3 linked regions of the Tribolium castaneum genome follow. The protein of the gene in region 2 interacts with the protein of the main gene of each other region in a biochemical or structural test. Links are inferred from orthologs where the notes say so. Each region holds a gene or a part of one and is shown on either strand. Other genes may lie near its edges.

Region 1 (6,552 bases), on a different chromosome or scaffold from region 2:
ATTGGTTTTTCTTTCTCCACTTCTTTAAAAGCATCTTCAGTACTACTTGAAACCTCCGTTTTCTCTTCAACTTCCTCAAATACGTCCTTGAAGAGATCGTCTTCAATTTCTTCATCTGGCTTTATCACGACCTCCATAGCAATCTCTCCGTTGGTACTTTTCTTCTCCTTTTCTTCATCTACATCTACAAAGTCCTCATCGTTGCTAGAGGCAGAATCTGACATCACCTCAACTGTATCTTCACTGACGATAGAAGTGGTAACTTTATCTTCATCTAATTCCGCAATATCTTCAATACTGTCTTTGGTAATTTCACTACAAACATTTGTACTTCCAGTCTTGTCTGTTTCTTCTGTTATTTCTTCATTATCCTTAGTAATATCAGAACTACTACCAGTTTTATCTGCTTCCTCTTTGCTTTCTTCAGGTTCCTTAGCAATGCTACTAGAAATATCAGAACTACTACTGGCTTTATCTGTTTCTTCTTTCCTTTCTTCAGGTTCTTTAATAATGCTACTAGAAACACCAGAACTACTCTCTTCACTGACTTTCTTCATTGCTCCACTTTTACTGGCAATAATTTTGGCAATTTCGCTGGGAGTCAGCCCACTGTACTCCATCATGTATCTCTGAGCTGGTGTTAACTTCGTACGAATTACTTCTTCTTCTTCACTGGAGTCCGAATTTCCAAAATCAGCATCTTCAAGAAACGATAACGACAATCGTTTCTTCCCCCTAGAACTGGACGGTTCCTCCCGATTGTCTTTCGTTTTTGATGTCGACGGTTCCGCCTCCAAAGACAAGGCTATGGCCTTCTTCAAATCGTCTTCAAATTCTTGCTCCCCTTTATTCTTCACATTCTGTCCCTCGTCGCATTCTTCGCTTTCTTCAATCGTTGGTAAATCCTGCTTTTTGGCCTCCTCCACGGCCTGCTTGATGTCTTTGATTAAAAGAAACCGCGTGTTTTCGTCCGAAGCGATCCGACTGCCTTTCAAGTTCGTTATAACCCCCTGGTCTTTGAGCAATTTTTCCAGCTCGCCCAGCGATAGAGAATGGCCCCCCATTTCTTTTTCGACGTCTTCAAGGGCGGTTTGCACCGACTGCCTCTTCAAGAGTCGTTTCATTTGATAGGTGGAGAAGTTGTCACTTTGAGTGGGCATTTCGTGGATGCGCCCCCATGAAGACTGCTTCCGTGTGTCCTTCAAGTCGGAGAGGATTTCGTGCCGGACGTCGGCCGGTAGCGACTTGAATTCGGCACTTTCCGTGTCAATTGAATGCAAGTCGTATCGGGGAAGCCCCGAGTCTTCCGAATCCGAGTCACTTTGTGACAATGTGGAGTCGAGAGACTGGGACGGGGGCAAGGCGTAAAGCTCGTCATCGTCTTGTTTTGATTTTTTAGTGGGAGAAGTTGAGGCGGTTATTGCCGCTTTGGCTTTTTCGGACAAGACTTTGCTAATCGCGGTGTGTTTGACTAAGGCTGATAGGAGGTTTTTGTGGATGCGGTCCGCCTCGGACAAGGTTTTGGACTTTTGCTGGTTGCGTAACGCCTGGGAATTTGCGGGAAAATGCAACTGAGGTTATGTTTTTTTCTCATTATTTTACTCACTATGGTTTGTCTTTTGAGAACTGGGACGCCTCCGTCGAAGACAAACACCGGCTTGATTCTGAAATAGAGTAATTTGCATACTCTGTGGTAGATCCCCAGCAGGTGCGCATGGGGGACGGCGGCCCCCTTGGCGTCCTGGAACCCCTTGACGATTTGGTGCAACCAAATCGAGACATCTGTCAGATTGCGTTAAGGTTATAACCGATCAAGCGTGACGTTTGAAATGTCAATAAAGGATACCGACAGCTAACACTTTGTTTTCGAGAGATTCCAGAGGCACGGGTTTGCCGGAAGGCTCGATGAGCCTCCACAGACCGTGAACTCCCATAATATATTTTCTGGTAAATAATTCGAGGCGTCTGATGGAAAAAATTCCCACGGTCTGAGGCGGCGATGAACGACCGCGACACGAACGTCAGTCAGTTCCCATGATTTAGATGCGAAGAATCATCAAATCAGAGGAAAACAGACCTAATCTCGTCCAGCGGTCTGAATTACATCTCTCAGTATCAAATGTTTGAGAATCGCCGAGGCCACCCACTCTTTCCCACACCATGATTTTCCCACGCCCTGGCTGTAACCCCAACATCCTGCGGGAGGGCAGGGGGGCGGCGCTAAAGGCACCTTCACAAGGGAGGGGACCCATTCATAAACACGCGGCCAGTGGCGTGCGCCCAAACGCCAATAAAACCACCACATTCTTTTGTCAGGCAGCGGCGCCGCGAACTTCCTAATACTGCTATCTTTGTTAGAACTTTTTAGTTTTCTTCTTTTTAGAAATAAACATTATTTATAATAATAATTGGCACCTAATTAGATCAATTAGATTAGGTATCAAGGTAGAAAATCCCTCACTAGGATTAATCCTCCAGTGGCGTCTCGCCTCCGCCCCTGTTGTGTCATCCACTACCGTTTTACGCGTGTTAGGTGTAAACCCGCCTTAACGCTACCAAAATTACATAATTTTCAGCGACCGCCGCGCCCGCCCCGCCCGCCCCGCCCATGGCCCATGCAGACCCATCAGCCCATCTTGGGCCCTCTTGAGCGTTAAAAAATTCCAAGAACGCGTTAATTCGGGCACTTCCTGTGAAAACTCGCCTTTTGAAAGTTGGCCATCCTGTCGGAAAATCCTCTCTCCAAACAGGTGTTTTTCGAATGAGATACGGGGGGCAAAGGAGGGGGAAGCATGGCATTTGTTCTCACCGTGTGTTGCGGTAGCCGTGCGAAGAGTTGGCTGTGAGTGCATCGATAAAACAAACGCCAGTGCGATGCGGCCTACTTGATTAAGTGTTTCGAAATGCCCCATCAGTACGGATTGCCGGGCATAGCCCACGCTCAGTCGCCCCCGACGCCGCCGCCGCAGCACGGGGCCATGTACTCGCGGTTCTCGGGGGCGGTGGTGCCCGGGGGCTACCGCGGCGAGGACCGGCGGCTGACCCGGGAGGCCATGGAGCGGTATCTGCGGGACCGGTCCGACATGGTCATCGTGATTTTGCACGCCAAGGTGGCGCAGAAGTCCTACGGGAATGAGAAGAGGTTTTTCTGTCCGCCCCCTTGCATTTATCTGTTCGGGGACGGCTGGAGGCTGCGCCAGGAGCAGATGCTGCGGGAGGGCGAGTCCGAGCAGGCCTCGCAGTTATGCGCTTTCATAGGGATTGGGAACTCGGACCAGGACATGCAGCAGCTGGATTTGAATAATGGGAAGCAGTATTGTGCCGCGAAAACTCTCTACATCTCCGATTCGGACAAGAGGAAACACTTTATGTTGTCCGTGAAGATGTTCTACGGGTCGGGGCACGACATCGGGGTGTTTCATAGCAAAAGAATCAAAGTTATCTCGAAGCCTTCAAAGAAGAAACAATCGTTGAAAAACGCGGATTTGTGTATTGCGAGTGGTACCAAAGTGGCGCTTTTTAACAGACTTAGATCTCAGACTGTCTCCACGCGGTATCTGCACGTGGAAAATGGACATTTTCATGCCAGTTCCACACAGTGGGGTGCTTTCACTATACACTTGTTAGACGACAATGAATCTGAAAGTGAGGAGTTTCAAGTACGGGATGGGTACATTCATTACGGTTCTACAGTCAAACTGGTGTGTTCTGTCACCGGAATGGCCCTCCCGAGACTTATCATTCGAAAGGTACGTTTGAAAAAAACATCAACAAAAAATTGAGGTTATGATTCGGCAACATGTCAATCTTTATATTCCCCATAATTACGCAAAGGAACGCTCCCTGCAAGCAGTTACGGCCATACCATGACCGAATTCAGACAAAATAATGATTTTCCAGATGATTCATTGCACAAAATTCGATATTTCGATACAAATGTTGACCCAGCCCGTGATTGGCCCATTTGAGAACACATGTCGGTTCCCATCCTATCAAAACTCGCCGCTCACGCGGGCGATTCGAAGCCTATTTTGGGGAAAGAAAAACCTACTAAAATAATACAAACTATTGTAATTTTCAAGAAACACAAAATATTATGTTTTTTCAGCCATTAAAATTACAAATGTGCTTTCTTAATACTCATAATAATAATTAAATATTTCACCACGTCATTGACTTTCTTATGCTGGATGTTCAAGATTTTTTTTTTTGTCATAATTTCGTCCGCATATCATTTTTAATGCCTTTAAAAAGCATAACATGCCTCTCGACAACATCAGATTTCTCCCTAGTCTTCCTACGCTAATTACGAATAAACTCTTAATACTCTTTTTCACCGACCTCATCAGAAAATATCGTAAAGAAAGAAAGCTAATTTCTCGCCAAAATGTCAGAAGAAGCCCCAAATCTTTATTTTGTTTCTACATTTGGTGATTCTCTACTACGCTCTGCAGGACTTGGAATCCGCCGATTTTGAGACACCTTGTATTTATTCTTTATCTTACTTACACTTTAAGGAACCCGTTGAAATACAGCTACATTATTATTAGAATTATTTAAGTTGTGTATAATTTGACAGTTCTCCAGTTACGATTTATCTTTACTTGGTCAAGTATTAATTGAAAAAATTGTGATTGAAACTTCCTATAATTCCTGACGGTATTTTTTTTATTTTCCACTTTTTTACGTTTGTACAGGTCATCGTATTGCAAATTTTTAACGTATTGTAATATAATTGTTCTCTTCTCTTTGTGGCGTCTTTTTTTGTTTCGTAGTTTGTGTTTTTTGGTTCAATTTTGTAAAGCGTTTGTTGTTTTGGTCCAGGTGGACAAGCAGCAGGCGCTCCTCGAAGCCGACGACCCCGTGTCCCAGCTGCACAAATGCGCCTTTTACATGAAAGACACCGAACGCATGTACCTCTGCCTCTCCCAAGAGCGCATCATCCAGTTCCAGGCCACCCCTTGCCCCAAAGAGCCCAACAAGGAGATGATCAACGACGGCGCCTGCTGGACCATCATCTCCACCGACAAGGCCGAGTACCAGTTCTACGAGGGCATGGGCCCCGTGCGCTCCCCCGTGACCCCCGTGCCCATCGTGCACAGCCTGCACTTGAACGGCGGCGGCGAAGTGGCGATGCTGGAGCTCACGGGCGACAACTTCTCGCCGTCCCTGCAGGTGTGGTTCGGGGACGTGGAGGCCGAGACCATGTACCGGTGCCAGGAGTCCATGCTGTGCGTGGTCCCGGACATCTCGCAGTTCCGGGGCGAGTGGCTGTGGGTGCGGCAGCCGACCCAGGTCCCGGTCTCCTTGGTGCGGAACGACGGGATTATCTATGCCACGGGGTTGACGTTCACGTATACGCCGGAGCCGGGGCCCCGACCGCAGTGTTTGCCTGCGGACGAGATCATGAGGCATGGGCAGAGGAGCGCGGCGGCGGCGCAGGGGCAGAGCCAGGCGCTGACGCAGGAGGCGGCGTGGAACTCGCACGGAGGGATGCATTAGGGGGTGGGTAGGTAGATGCAATAAAGTTAGGTAGGGTGTACAACGACCATTGTGTTTTTTCTCGAGTGGACACTCAGTATTAAATTTTGAGATTGGAAGTGGCACGAGTCTTCTGTATTATGATTTATTGTGATATGTTTTTTGAGTAGGCGGTCGTAGAGAAGCAAAAGTTGGTATCAATTTTTCCTTATTTTTTAATTGATGCAGTTGACCGGCCTAAGACTTGTAGGATGTGTTTCTACAGCGGTGTAAAGAGATACTTAGCCTTATGAACAAACCAAAGTTATGTAAGTTTTCTAATTGTCAGTCAGAATGAATAGTCCAACAATTTTTACTTAGTATTAAGTAAATTATGCTCAATTTGCCGATGAATAATAAATAATAGGTAATAAAAAATCTCGACAGGAAAACATGACAACAACGAATTTATGGCAAATGTAATGAGTGTAAATATCTTTATTAGAATTAGTTTTATTCTACGTAAAATAATACATAAACAAACTGTACATGCTGCATATTTTGTAGAAATAAAAACTATTTGAATAATATCACCATTCTTCAAACCCCTAACAGAAAAAAAATCACAGTGAGTACGGAAGGCCTTCCGCATTTTCACATCCATTCAAGTCAGTTCTCACGACAAAATCTCATTTTCTTGAAAATGATTATTCATACATGTGGGAATTCGGGTCTTAACAATGGTATTATTTTTAATAATTGCTTTTCCTACTGTATATTAATTAGTCGGTCCCATTCCCACAATTGAGGTGGGAATTCTCATCTCATTTGATTCTTAAACTTCTGTTTGCTCATGTAAGTGAGGGAGATATAGGGGGTCACAAGGTCGCCCAAGTTATAGCTAAGGGAGGTTTCGCAAGGAGTCTCTGACGATGGTTTTGTGGCAGTATGTGTTGCCCGAAGGGCTGGGTGACGAGGATTTTCTAAGACGCAGTTCGATTAATTGGCGATGTTAATTAAGTAAATAATTGAGTTAAGCAGTTAATGAATGAACATGCAGCAATAACAGGAAATCATATAATCATGAAAATG
Region 2 (5,339 bases):
TAAAGTTACATTGTAAACGCTATTTCGGATCAGGTTACATTTATTTTATTTATTTATTTAATATTTTTTTGAAAACATAGTTACCAATGTCATTTTGAACAACACACACAAAAAGTAAAAGATTGTATTTATTACTTTTAGGATAGAGCAACTAAAAATTTTTCTGGTGGATGGAGAATGAGAGTGTCACTAGCCAGAGCGTTGTATATAGAACCCACTTTATTACTTCTTGATGAACCAACGAATCATTTAGATTTGAATGCAGTTATTTGGTTGGATAAGTACGTTTTATTTTGGTTTAATTTTTTGTGAAAAAGTTATTATGATTTTGCTTTCAGTTATTTGCAAGGGTGGAAAAAAACTCTACTTATCGTTTCACACGACCAGTCATTCTTAGATAATGTTTGTAATGAAATTATCCATTTAGATAATCAAAAGTTGTATTATTACAAAGGGAATTACTCAATGTTTAAAAAAATGTACCAACAAAAACGCAAAGAAATGATTAAAGAATACGAGAAGCAGGAAAAACGTTTGAAAGAGTTAAAGGCACACGGATCGTCGAAAAAACAAGCCGAAAAGAAACAAAAAGAGGCTTTGACGCGAAAACAGGAGAAGAACAGAACGAAAATGCAGAAACAAGAGGACGAAACAGCCCCAACTGAACTTCTACAAAAACCGAAAGAATATTTCGTCAAATTTTCATTTCCGGAACCTCCGCCTCTACAACCCCCAATTTTGGGGCTTCATAGTACGTTCTAAGTCATAAAATATGGCATAAAATAAAAAAAAATATTTCAGACGTAACTTTTGCATATTCGGGCCAAAAACCCCTCTTCCGAAACACCGACTTCGGTATCGATATGAGCAGCAGAGTGGCAATAGTTGGTCCGAACGGAGTCGGAAAATCCACATTTTTGAAATTATTAACCGGTGATTTGGACCCGCAACAAGGGGAAGTCCGGAAAAATCATCGTTTGGTAATTTTTGTGATTAATTTTTCGATTTGTGATTTTTTTTTTAGAGGATTGGTCGTTTTGATCAACATTCAGGTGAGCATTTAACGGCCGAAGAAACACCCGCTGAATATCTGATGCGATTGTTTGATCTGCCGTACGAAAAATCCCGAAAGCAATTGGGGACTTTTGGTCTAGCGAGTCATGCTCACACTATCAAAATGAAGGACTTGTCCGGGGGACAGAAAGCACGAGTGGCTTTAGCCGAATTGTGTCTTAACGCACCGGATGTTCTCATTTTGGATGAACCGACGAATAATTTAGATATTGAATCGATTGATGCACTAGCTGAGGCCATTAACGACTTCAGTGGAGGGGTTATTATAGTGAGCCACGACGAACGACTTATACGGTAAGAGCAAATAAATGTACTCTTTCTTTTCTTTTTTCGCCTCCCTTTATAGAAATTTTATATTTTTCGTCCTAATTTCAGGCTGCGAAGTATGCGTTTACCAGCACTATTAGAAGTGAATTTAATTTTTAATTTGCATTAGCTACTTAATTTGTTCGTTAATTTAAATTAAGATGAAATTCCATCGAGTTTTTGTAACAATTTCGGCTCGACCATAAAACTCAATTTTATTGTTTTGTGTAAAAAAAAATTACTAATTTTGTTACAGTGAAACTGATTGCGCCTTGTACGTAATAGAAGACCAGACCATAAACGAATTAGACGGCGACTTCGACGACTACCGCAAAGAGCTCTTGGAGAGTCTGGGTGAAGTCATCAACAGCCCAAGTATTGCAGCAAACGCTGCCATTGCTCAATAATACAACAAAAAATTTCTACAATTGTATTTATTTAAAAAACCCAAATACAATCAATATTTTAATCTCTTCTCTTTCGCTTATCCCTCTCATCCCTCCTCTCCGGTTCCTTGCGTTTGCTCGCCCGTTTAGCCTGACTCAAGAACTGATCTAACCCGAACGGATCTTCCTCTTTCTCAAATTGTACAGGTCCAGACCTTGGCGCATTCCGATCAGTTCCACTAAACTCCTTATCCGGAACAAATCGGTTCGTTTTGACGATTTTCTCCAAATCTTCACCGTATACCTCCTTATCCACATTCCTACTAGGTCTGTACAAGTGATTGGCCATTGAGCCCCCCTCCCTCCACGGCTTATCATAAACATTATACGCGTCATCGTCCCCATATCCATGCCCCAAACCTTGAGCCTGTCCGAATAATCTCTGATCAAACTGCACCTCGTTTGAGGAGACTCCTCTGGCAGGCATCCCCAAAGCAATCTGCTCGGAAATATCTCGCTCTCGCTCCCTCTTCAACTTTGAACGCTTATCGGGAGCAGCCCTTGCCAAGTTTCTCTCTCTTGCTCGCTCCTTATGCCGGTCCTGTCTCAGCATTTCTCTCTCACGTTCCTCCTCATCTGTGATTTTAGCATCAGCGACTTTGATCCCAGCACGTTCATCTCGAGCTTTTTGAGCCAACTGTCTCAAATGCTCCTCCTTTTGTTCCTTTTCCTTCTGAGCTAGTTTTTTCTCGAGTTGGGCGCGTGTTTCCACAGCCTCTCGTGCTTTTCTATCGGCAATATATAGAGCCTCAGCCAACTTTGCGAAATTCTCGTTGATGTGCAACTGTTGCAACCCCCGACCATCTGCAGCTAAACGCTTATCTAACGGAACTGTGTAACCCTTTGCATTTTTCCAATTTGAAATACAGGGCGGGATTTTCCACTCCTTTTGCTCCTTAACAGTGACACGACGTGTGGGGCTGTGCAAAACGGGCGCTGGGGGCGAAGGGGGCCCCCTTGGGATCTTCTTATTGATCTTGAAACGTGGGGGCTCCATTGGATCAACTTGTGCTTCGACCAAACGAATGACGCGCTGTTTGGCACCCGAGTTGAAGGCGGCCCCTTGTTGTGAAGGGGTGTAACGAATAAATTCAGCGGGGCCTTGTTTTTCGGCACATCTGACTGGCATTGCAGCTGCGATTTTTGAATTTGTTAGGCGTTGTAATGCTTGACGGGTTTTTTCTGTGATATCTTCGATTTCCTCCTGAGATGGTTTAGCAAGACTTGGGTCATTTTCTGTGGTTACTTCAACTGGTAACAAATCGGAGAGTTTTGAATAGACGATTTTGTCTTTGCCGTGGCCTTGACGTGCGATTACGTCGTATTTGACTTTGCCTTCTGCGTCCAATTGGACGGCCAAGGCGTTTGAAGTTGATTCTTTGCCCTTTCGCCCCATGTCAAGAGGGTACTGGGCCACGTGGATTTCGGGAAATGCGCCTCCATCTATAAATTGCAATAAAATCAGTGATAGTGAAAACTTTTCGACGTCCTTGACTGATTATTTGTAATAAAATTTAATAGGACCAATCAAAAAAGTTGGTCCCATCGTAGTTAAATTTAATTACAAAAAATCGGTGGCTAATTACCTCCATAGTCGGTGTGGACTCGTGGGACCCAACCCCTTCTTTGTCCATACGGTGGGGCAATGCTTTGGGCTGTTACAACAGATGTGGAACGTTGAGTTGTGGCATTCTGTTGCCGTCTCTCGTCGTCCCGATCCCATACGGGTTGTATGGGGGCGGGCAATAAACTACAAAATAAATGCGTCTTACTCTACAAGCCCAAAAGTGAGGTTAGGTTACCTGGATAATTCCATTTCTTTTCCTAAATCAGCAAAAACTTGACAATAGCGTAAAATATTCACACTGCACTCATTAATGTAAGTTTTTATTGTTTTACTTCACTAGTAAATCGGAAAATATGTAAAAATCGATTGCACAACAGTGGCTTTCGGGAAAACAATTTCCGCAAAATCTTGATATTATATTATCGCTGTGCGATATTCAAAGCAATTTGTACTTAAAAAACGCAACTAAGTAATGGATTATTGTGTGTAATTCTGTTTTATAAATACACCCAAATTAACGCCACTACTAAAACGTCAAATAGACGGAATGATTTGTAGAGGGCGCGGTTGAGCATAGATTGTTTGTTCCGAAGTTCTATAAGTTCGAAAATACAGACTGATCCAGAAATACTGAGTCTGTTGGCAACACATTTGAAAGTGTTTGTGCTTGTAATTTGTAACATTGCAACCGAATTCGATTTTTCTTGACAACTATTTGACGTACAACCCCACAAGAATGTTAAATTGTTGTTAACTGGAAGCGTATTCCATTAGTATCCTTAAAAATTTAAGTCCAGTGTCGCCAACAGACTCAGTATTTCTGGATCAGTCTGTATTTTTAACGTGAGGGTATCCCCAAAAAAAAAGATGCACAACCACTCACAGACTTTTAGCTACTAGTTACTTCAACAAGCAGACCCTTTACTTACGTAGAATAAACAAAAAACAATAAATTTTTTAATATTTTTCCAAAAATTTAGAAAAACATTCATGTATCGTGCGGTTGCCATTGATAATTGGCAATAATTGGTGGTGTTTGTGAACTTCTAATTTTGAAAATGTACTTCTCCAACATATAAATAAGTGCCTTAGAGCACTAAAGTGAAATTTGAATTTTGGAACTAACACCATAACACACTGTAATTTTTAACCGCTGTAGAACTGTGTCTAGCACTAAATTGAACTAAAAACACTAAAACATATTCAACCGAAGGCTGTTTACTATTGAAATTCGCGCTTTTTTGGTGTTGGTACTTCTGTTACACTGTTACGTTGGTAGTGCTGCAATATCGGCGCGCCTTTTAGCACCTGTCATGTTTTGTAGTTTAGCATTATTTTTGTTTAACGCTGTTTTAGTGTTTAGTTTGTGTATTAGTAAGGATTTATGGTGTTAGTGGGTTTGTTTCTCGTTATTTAAAGACAATCTTATTCAGAGGAGGAACATTTGCAGGAATATTTCCACCCTTCTTTGGTAAGTGCACATTTTAGTTGAGTATTAATTATAGCTTTAATTTAAACATTTTGACGCTTCAAAAGGTGAAATAAAGCATTCTTATGCAGAAATTGTAAGGTGCGGTACTAATTTTAGTAACGTTTTTTGACTAACTATTCAGTACTCAGAGAAAGAAAATTAGTCTTAGCACAGACAGTACACGGTGTCTGTTTGCTCCATAATAACAAAAAAAAGGAACAATCGATGAAATAGTGTTTATTGTAGCAACTTAATATAGATATCACAATAATTTAATTTGATCATGAAAAAATTATTCCAACTTAAAAATATACTCCATTACTTCGGCCATGTACGGGTTTTCCCCCAACTTATCAACTTCATCTTGGGCCTCTTGCTTCAGTTCTGCCAACACTTTCTTCGTGTAATCAAAACTTCCGTATTTCTCAAGCAACGAAACGCAGTATTTCTTTACTTCATTGTCTTTAGTTCTTTG
Region 3 (4,927 bases), on a different chromosome or scaffold from region 2:
AAACTGTACTCTGAAAATGTGAGTTCTGCTTCGTCTTGTCTTTAGTCCGTACGGTGACACGAAAAATGCGTACAGAAAAAAGCCCACAAGAAAAAAACACACGGAATAATGCTCACAAAGAAAAAAGCCCATGTCGAAAAAACCACAGAGAAAGGAACTTAGTATAATCTGTGTTGTAAATTAATAGGTATTGCGTTTTTTTTCTGGGTGGACTTTTTTAATTGTGGGTTTACTTCTGTGTGAATTTTCTCGTATGGGCATTTTTCGTGTGGGCTTATTTCATGATCCATTTCCTACATTTTTGTTCAGAGAATTTCTTCGAGAAACGCCTGGGAGCTGCACATCATCGATGCAATCAGAAAAATCGTCTCCCAAAACCAGGCAAATCTTATGCAAGTTGCTGGCTCTTCCCTGGACGTTGGCTCCAAAATCTACAGTTTGCGCATTGACGACGCCCACAATAAAGCGATCCAACTTGCTAGCAATGTTGGTAAAAGTGACCGAAAACAAGCCCAGGCGGCTGAAGATGACAACGTGACTGAAAACCCGCGTGAAAAAAGGCGACAAGTGCGTAAAAAAGTCCTCAAAATTCTGGCCGATAAAAAAACGATTATTGACGAAGAGGGTAAATCGCTGTTTGGCCCAATCAAGCCGATGGAATCGGTCGTATTTGCTACCAAAGAGAATATCGAAGTTAGCGCAATTGATAATTTGTTAACTTCCAAGGTTCCGGTAAACCCCGCCAGTCACAAATTCATGTTGTTGTGAGTTTATTGGCGCACTTGTATGAGAGTTGGTTTTGTATTTGCGTTTTAGGAGCAATGAAAAGTATTGGACTACGAAACCTGATGATATTTTAAAATACCAAGACCAAGTTGTTGATAATGACTTGCCGCCAGTGTCGTCATTTGACTTATGTGTACGTTTTAAAAATTTTGAAATTGGGACGTGGTCGCCTGAGGATGAAGCCAACTTGTAAGTTTGAATAAGTGGCCGTCAGGGTTTTATTTGTTAATAATTTTCAGACTGGAGGAAACGTTTAACACTGTACCACCGGCCGCCCTGGACGAGAATGGGGTTCCTATTCCAGAGCTCGACGGTTCAATTCCTGACATTTTTGCAGATAATGACGACGCTCCCATGGACGTCGATCCGACCAGCGATACGGAGCAACAAGAAGTGTTTCAGATGCAATTACATGATGGTATTAATCATATAGCTGATGCGGTACCTCAAGAATATCGCATTGAAACCGATTACGGTTACAACGCTCTTGTAAGGGGACAATCGGGAATGTATTTTGATAAAATTTGGGCGGGACCGTGCCATTGGAAAGTTAAATTTATTAAGAAATCGACAGCACGTTATTCGGGAAGTACCGTTCAACAAGTGGTTAAACAAACAAGGAAGAAAAACGAACCGGAACCGATTAATTTTCTAGAACCATTTTTTGATACGACGAAATCATTGAAAAAATTTGTTATAAAAAGAAGGCCTGGCACGACTGATTTTGAAAAGTAAGTAACAGTTAGTTACTACTAAAATAAACAAAATTGGAAAATAAAAGTTAGGCACAATATTTTTTGTTTTTTCCTAACATTTTTTTAAATACAGGGTTACATATCCTGTGCTTGATTGGTGGGTCGACGGTTTCCTAAAAAAGAAAAACTTCTTTTCCTTGAAACCTAACACACTTTTTGCAAAACCAAACACCACCGAGAAGAACCCCGACTTTGAAGTGCCAATCTACAACTATGAGAACCCGAATGATTCGCTTTATTGCTCACTACCTAACGTACGTAAACACCATTCTAAAAACACAACATTTAAATTTTTGTGTAACAGACCGATGACGCAAATGATGGAGCAAGCGATCATTCCTTTGAGGAGGATATGCCACCAGTTGAGCAACAACAATTTTTGGAAGGAAATCTGGTCGATGCCCCCGAAATTGTTTCAGTAAATCATGTCACGTATGCAATGCATGCCAAAAAAATCGACATGAAAAAACTCAAAACCTGTATCTGGAAACACTTAACTGGGGGGCAGCAGGTGGTTAATTTAAAGGTTTTTTTTTGTTTCAGTTAATACTTTTTGTTACAGGAGACTGTAAAACCAACGAGATTCTCCACTGTGTATGAACAGATACCAGTGTTGGCTCCAGAAATGAGCAAGAATTTAAGCCCCCATTTGGGCATTTTGTCTCTGCTGCATCTTTGCAACGACCATAATCTGTGTTTGAAACCAATTGACCATCAGGGAGATTTTATTGTAATGGACGCACAAAATTAAAGTTATTATTCTCTTTCTACTCTTAATTTGTATAATTTGTTAGTTTGTGTAGTTTTATTTTTAAGTACACACAATTTTAAAGTTTTAATCGACTCTCTGTGATCTGTAAAACAATAAATAGTACTAAAAGTATTGCATAATAAATATTTCTAAAAAGACAAAGACAAAAATTGTGAAAAACAATTTTCACGTAAAGAATTCTCATGAGAGTGCATTCTCGCCTTTCGTCTTTCCACACAACAGTGTCACGGGACACCAACATGGCCAAGAAAAAATCCCTTGATATTCCTGTTTACGCTTTTATAACCTCCAATTTGTAGATAAATAACGTTAAAAAATCACAAAAATGTTGGCCGTTCAGGGCATGAACCAGTCTGGGATTCCAGACAAGATGTGGCAGCCCCCATTCGTCGCATTCGAGACGACGTAAGTCTTTAAATTTGATTTTTTCCCAAACTAACCCCTTTTCCACAGAATGGGCGAAATCACAATTGAGCTTTACTGGAAACACGCCCCACAAACGTGTCGAAACTTTGCCGAATTGACCAGGCGAGGTTACTACAACAACACAATTTTCCATCGGGTTATACGCGATTTTATGATACAAGGTGGGGACCCCACGGGGACAGGTAAAGGGGGGCTGTCAATTTACGGACAGACATTTAAGGACGAAATACACCCAGAGTTGAAACACAGCGGGGCTGGAATTTTGTCAATGGCCAATTCGGGCCCTGACACCAACGGGTCACAGTTTTTCATCACTTTGGCGCCTACGCAGTGGTTGGACGGGAAACACGCGATTTTTGGGCGAATTCAGTCAGGAATGAACGTTGTGAAGAGGATAGGGCTAGTGGAGACCGACAAAAATGATAGGCCTGTTGATGAAGTGAAGATAATAAGGGGAAAAGTTATTAAGAACTAAGTGATTTTTATATAATGCGAAAATTAATAAAAAATACGAACTAACAAGAGTTTTATTTCTTTATTTGAATTAGCGCCTGCAGTTAGAAATTAAATTTAAGGAAAACAAAGTCACTAACCTGAACCACCTGTCAATGTCAAAGTCCATATGGCAGTTTGTCAATAAAATGCTTGCAAAATTTAAACTCGCATTTCAAAAGAATTTAAACTAAAAGTAAACGTCTTGTGCCCAATTTCCATTGCAAAATGATTTTTGATGACGACTCATAGGCACTGACAGTAAAATCAAACTTAACACAATTACTCTAGCCTGATATTTATAACAGTCCTTGGAAGTTGGGTAATTCGCGATCAGAACGTAACAAGAGATGGAAAACGGCACTATCCCGGTCCACAAACTAACAAGTAACCCTACCGCGGCGTGGAGGGAAATATCAAAGAACCAAAAAATTATCAAGCTCAATGTCAAGTCTCCCTCAAAACCTGTGGAACCAAATAAAGTACGATTCGTTTGTATGAGCGACACCCACTCCCTTATAAGAAACCTGGTGTTCGACGTACCCGACGGCGATGTGTTCATCCACGCTGGGGATTTTACGAAATGTGGCCAGAAAGAGGAAGTGATGCAGTTTAATAAATGGCTAGGTGGGTTGTGCTGGAAAATTTATCATTCTATTTGCCTACTTCCAGTATCTTTGCCCCACAAACACAAGATTGTAATCAGCGGCAATCACGAATTGAGTTTCGATAAAAAATTCTCTGATTATTTCAAAAAAACGGCGAGTGCAAGACACACCGGATCACTCGAAGATGAAGTCCCCAATTATGGCAATACGAAAGATAACATCAGTGATGCAGTCAATACTGATAACATCAGGCAGTATTTAACAAATTGCACGTATTTGGAAGATTCGGGGATTGATATTTATGGCATAAAACTGTACGGAACTCCTTGGTAATTTCACGGAATTTACGTAAAACAATAAAATTTGTGTAAATTATTACAGGCAACCTGAATTCGGTGGCTGGGCTTTTAATTTAGAGAGGGGTGAAGAGTGTCTTTCCAAGTGGAATTTGATTCCAAACGATACGGACGTTTTAATAACTCATACGCCGCCTCTGGGGTTTGGCGATTTGGTCTGTTCGGGGGTTAGAGCTGGATGCGTAGAGTTGTTAACGACGGTCCAACAAAGGGTCAAACCCAAATATCACGTTTTCGGACACATACATGAAGGCAAGTTAGTTTACACTCAATCTGTATTTCAACCAATTTGAACATTTATCTAAATTCCAACCTACTTGAAAGTTCAATGTTTGTTTATTGTTCTGCTGTAGAGGTGGATTAAGCGCCTGGCTAATTTCCAAAACTCGATAAGTTTAAGTTAGAAACAACTACAACAGAGAACGTGAATGATAATTGTAGTAGACTTCTAAATTTTGCCGTTCGTCAAAAACTAAAGTGTTAGAATATCCTCCCAGAAAATTGTTATTCCATAACAGTCGTAGGAAGTGTTTCGACGTTTCGATTTTTTAATAAAACTTTGTCAAGGTTTTTTTCTTACAAAATTTCATTAATTAATAAATCAAACCATCGGTAAAAATTCTCTTCAGTTAGGTGCCACCTAGAGAAGAAACTCATTTTACCGCTCCTTTTATTTCGCCAGGTTATGGAGTGTTCTCGGACGGAAAAATCATCTATATCAACGCTTCAACA

What was found.
Region 1: the proteins of Bx42 (region 2) and Su(H) form a complex in vitro, tested with the Homo sapiens proteins (2 studies listed by BioGRID). The link is inferred for Tribolium castaneum from reciprocal best matches to the Homo sapiens genes SNW1 and RBPJ.
Region 3: the proteins of Bx42 (region 2) and Cypl form a complex in vitro, tested with the Homo sapiens proteins (2 studies listed by IntAct, with this or other methods). The link is inferred for Tribolium castaneum from reciprocal best matches to the Homo sapiens genes SNW1 and PPIL1.

The regions. Positions count from the first base shown.
Region 1 is NC_087398.1:4,882,893-4,889,444, reverse strand, and holds Su(H) (suppressor of hairless protein), read left to right. Parts: upstream 1-2,586; 5' UTR 2,587-2,903; coding exon 2,904-3,749; intron 3,750-4,824; coding exon 4,825-5,502; 3' UTR 5,503-6,050; downstream 6,051-6,552. Other genes in the region: DNA excision repair protein ERCC-5 homolog, read right to left, coding at 1-1,547, 1,607-1,782, 1,847-1,934. UniProt on the Homo sapiens protein: Transcriptional regulator that plays a central role in Notch signaling, a signaling pathway involved in cell-cell communication that regulates a broad spectrum of cell-fate determinations.
Region 2 is NC_087397.1:9,847,511-9,852,849, forward strand, and holds Bx42 (puff-specific protein Bx42), read right to left. Parts: upstream 3,951-5,339; 5' UTR 3,643-3,950; coding exon 3,629-3,642; intron 3,577-3,628; coding exon 3,413-3,576; intron 3,270-3,412; coding exon 1,846-3,269; 3' UTR 1,798-1,845; downstream 1-1,797. Other genes in the region: ATP-binding cassette sub-family F member 1, read left to right, coding at 142-281, 339-751, 802-980, 1,025-1,368, 1,637-1,787; qm (terpene synthase), read right to left, coding at 5,157-5,339. UniProt on the Homo sapiens protein: Involved in pre-mRNA splicing as component of the spliceosome. As a component of the minor spliceosome, involved in the splicing of U12-type introns in pre-mRNAs.
Region 3 is NC_087394.1:31,301,249-31,306,175, reverse strand, and holds Cypl (uncharacterized protein Cypl), read left to right. Parts: upstream 1-2,533; 5' UTR 2,534-2,638; coding exon 2,639-2,718; intron 2,719-2,766; coding exon 2,767-3,214; 3' UTR 3,215-3,261; downstream 3,262-4,927. Other genes in the region: condensin complex subunit 2, read left to right, coding at 1-18, 310-764, 817-975, 1,026-1,517, 1,615-1,795, 1,846-2,052, 2,104-2,292; metallophosphoesterase domain-containing protein 1, read left to right, coding at 3,582-3,858, 3,904-4,168, 4,221-4,447, 4,878-4,927. UniProt on the Homo sapiens protein: Involved in pre-mRNA splicing as component of the spliceosome. PPIases accelerate the folding of proteins. Catalyzes the cis-trans isomerization of proline imidic peptide bonds in oligopeptides. Catalyzes prolyl peptide bond isomerization in CDC40/PRP17.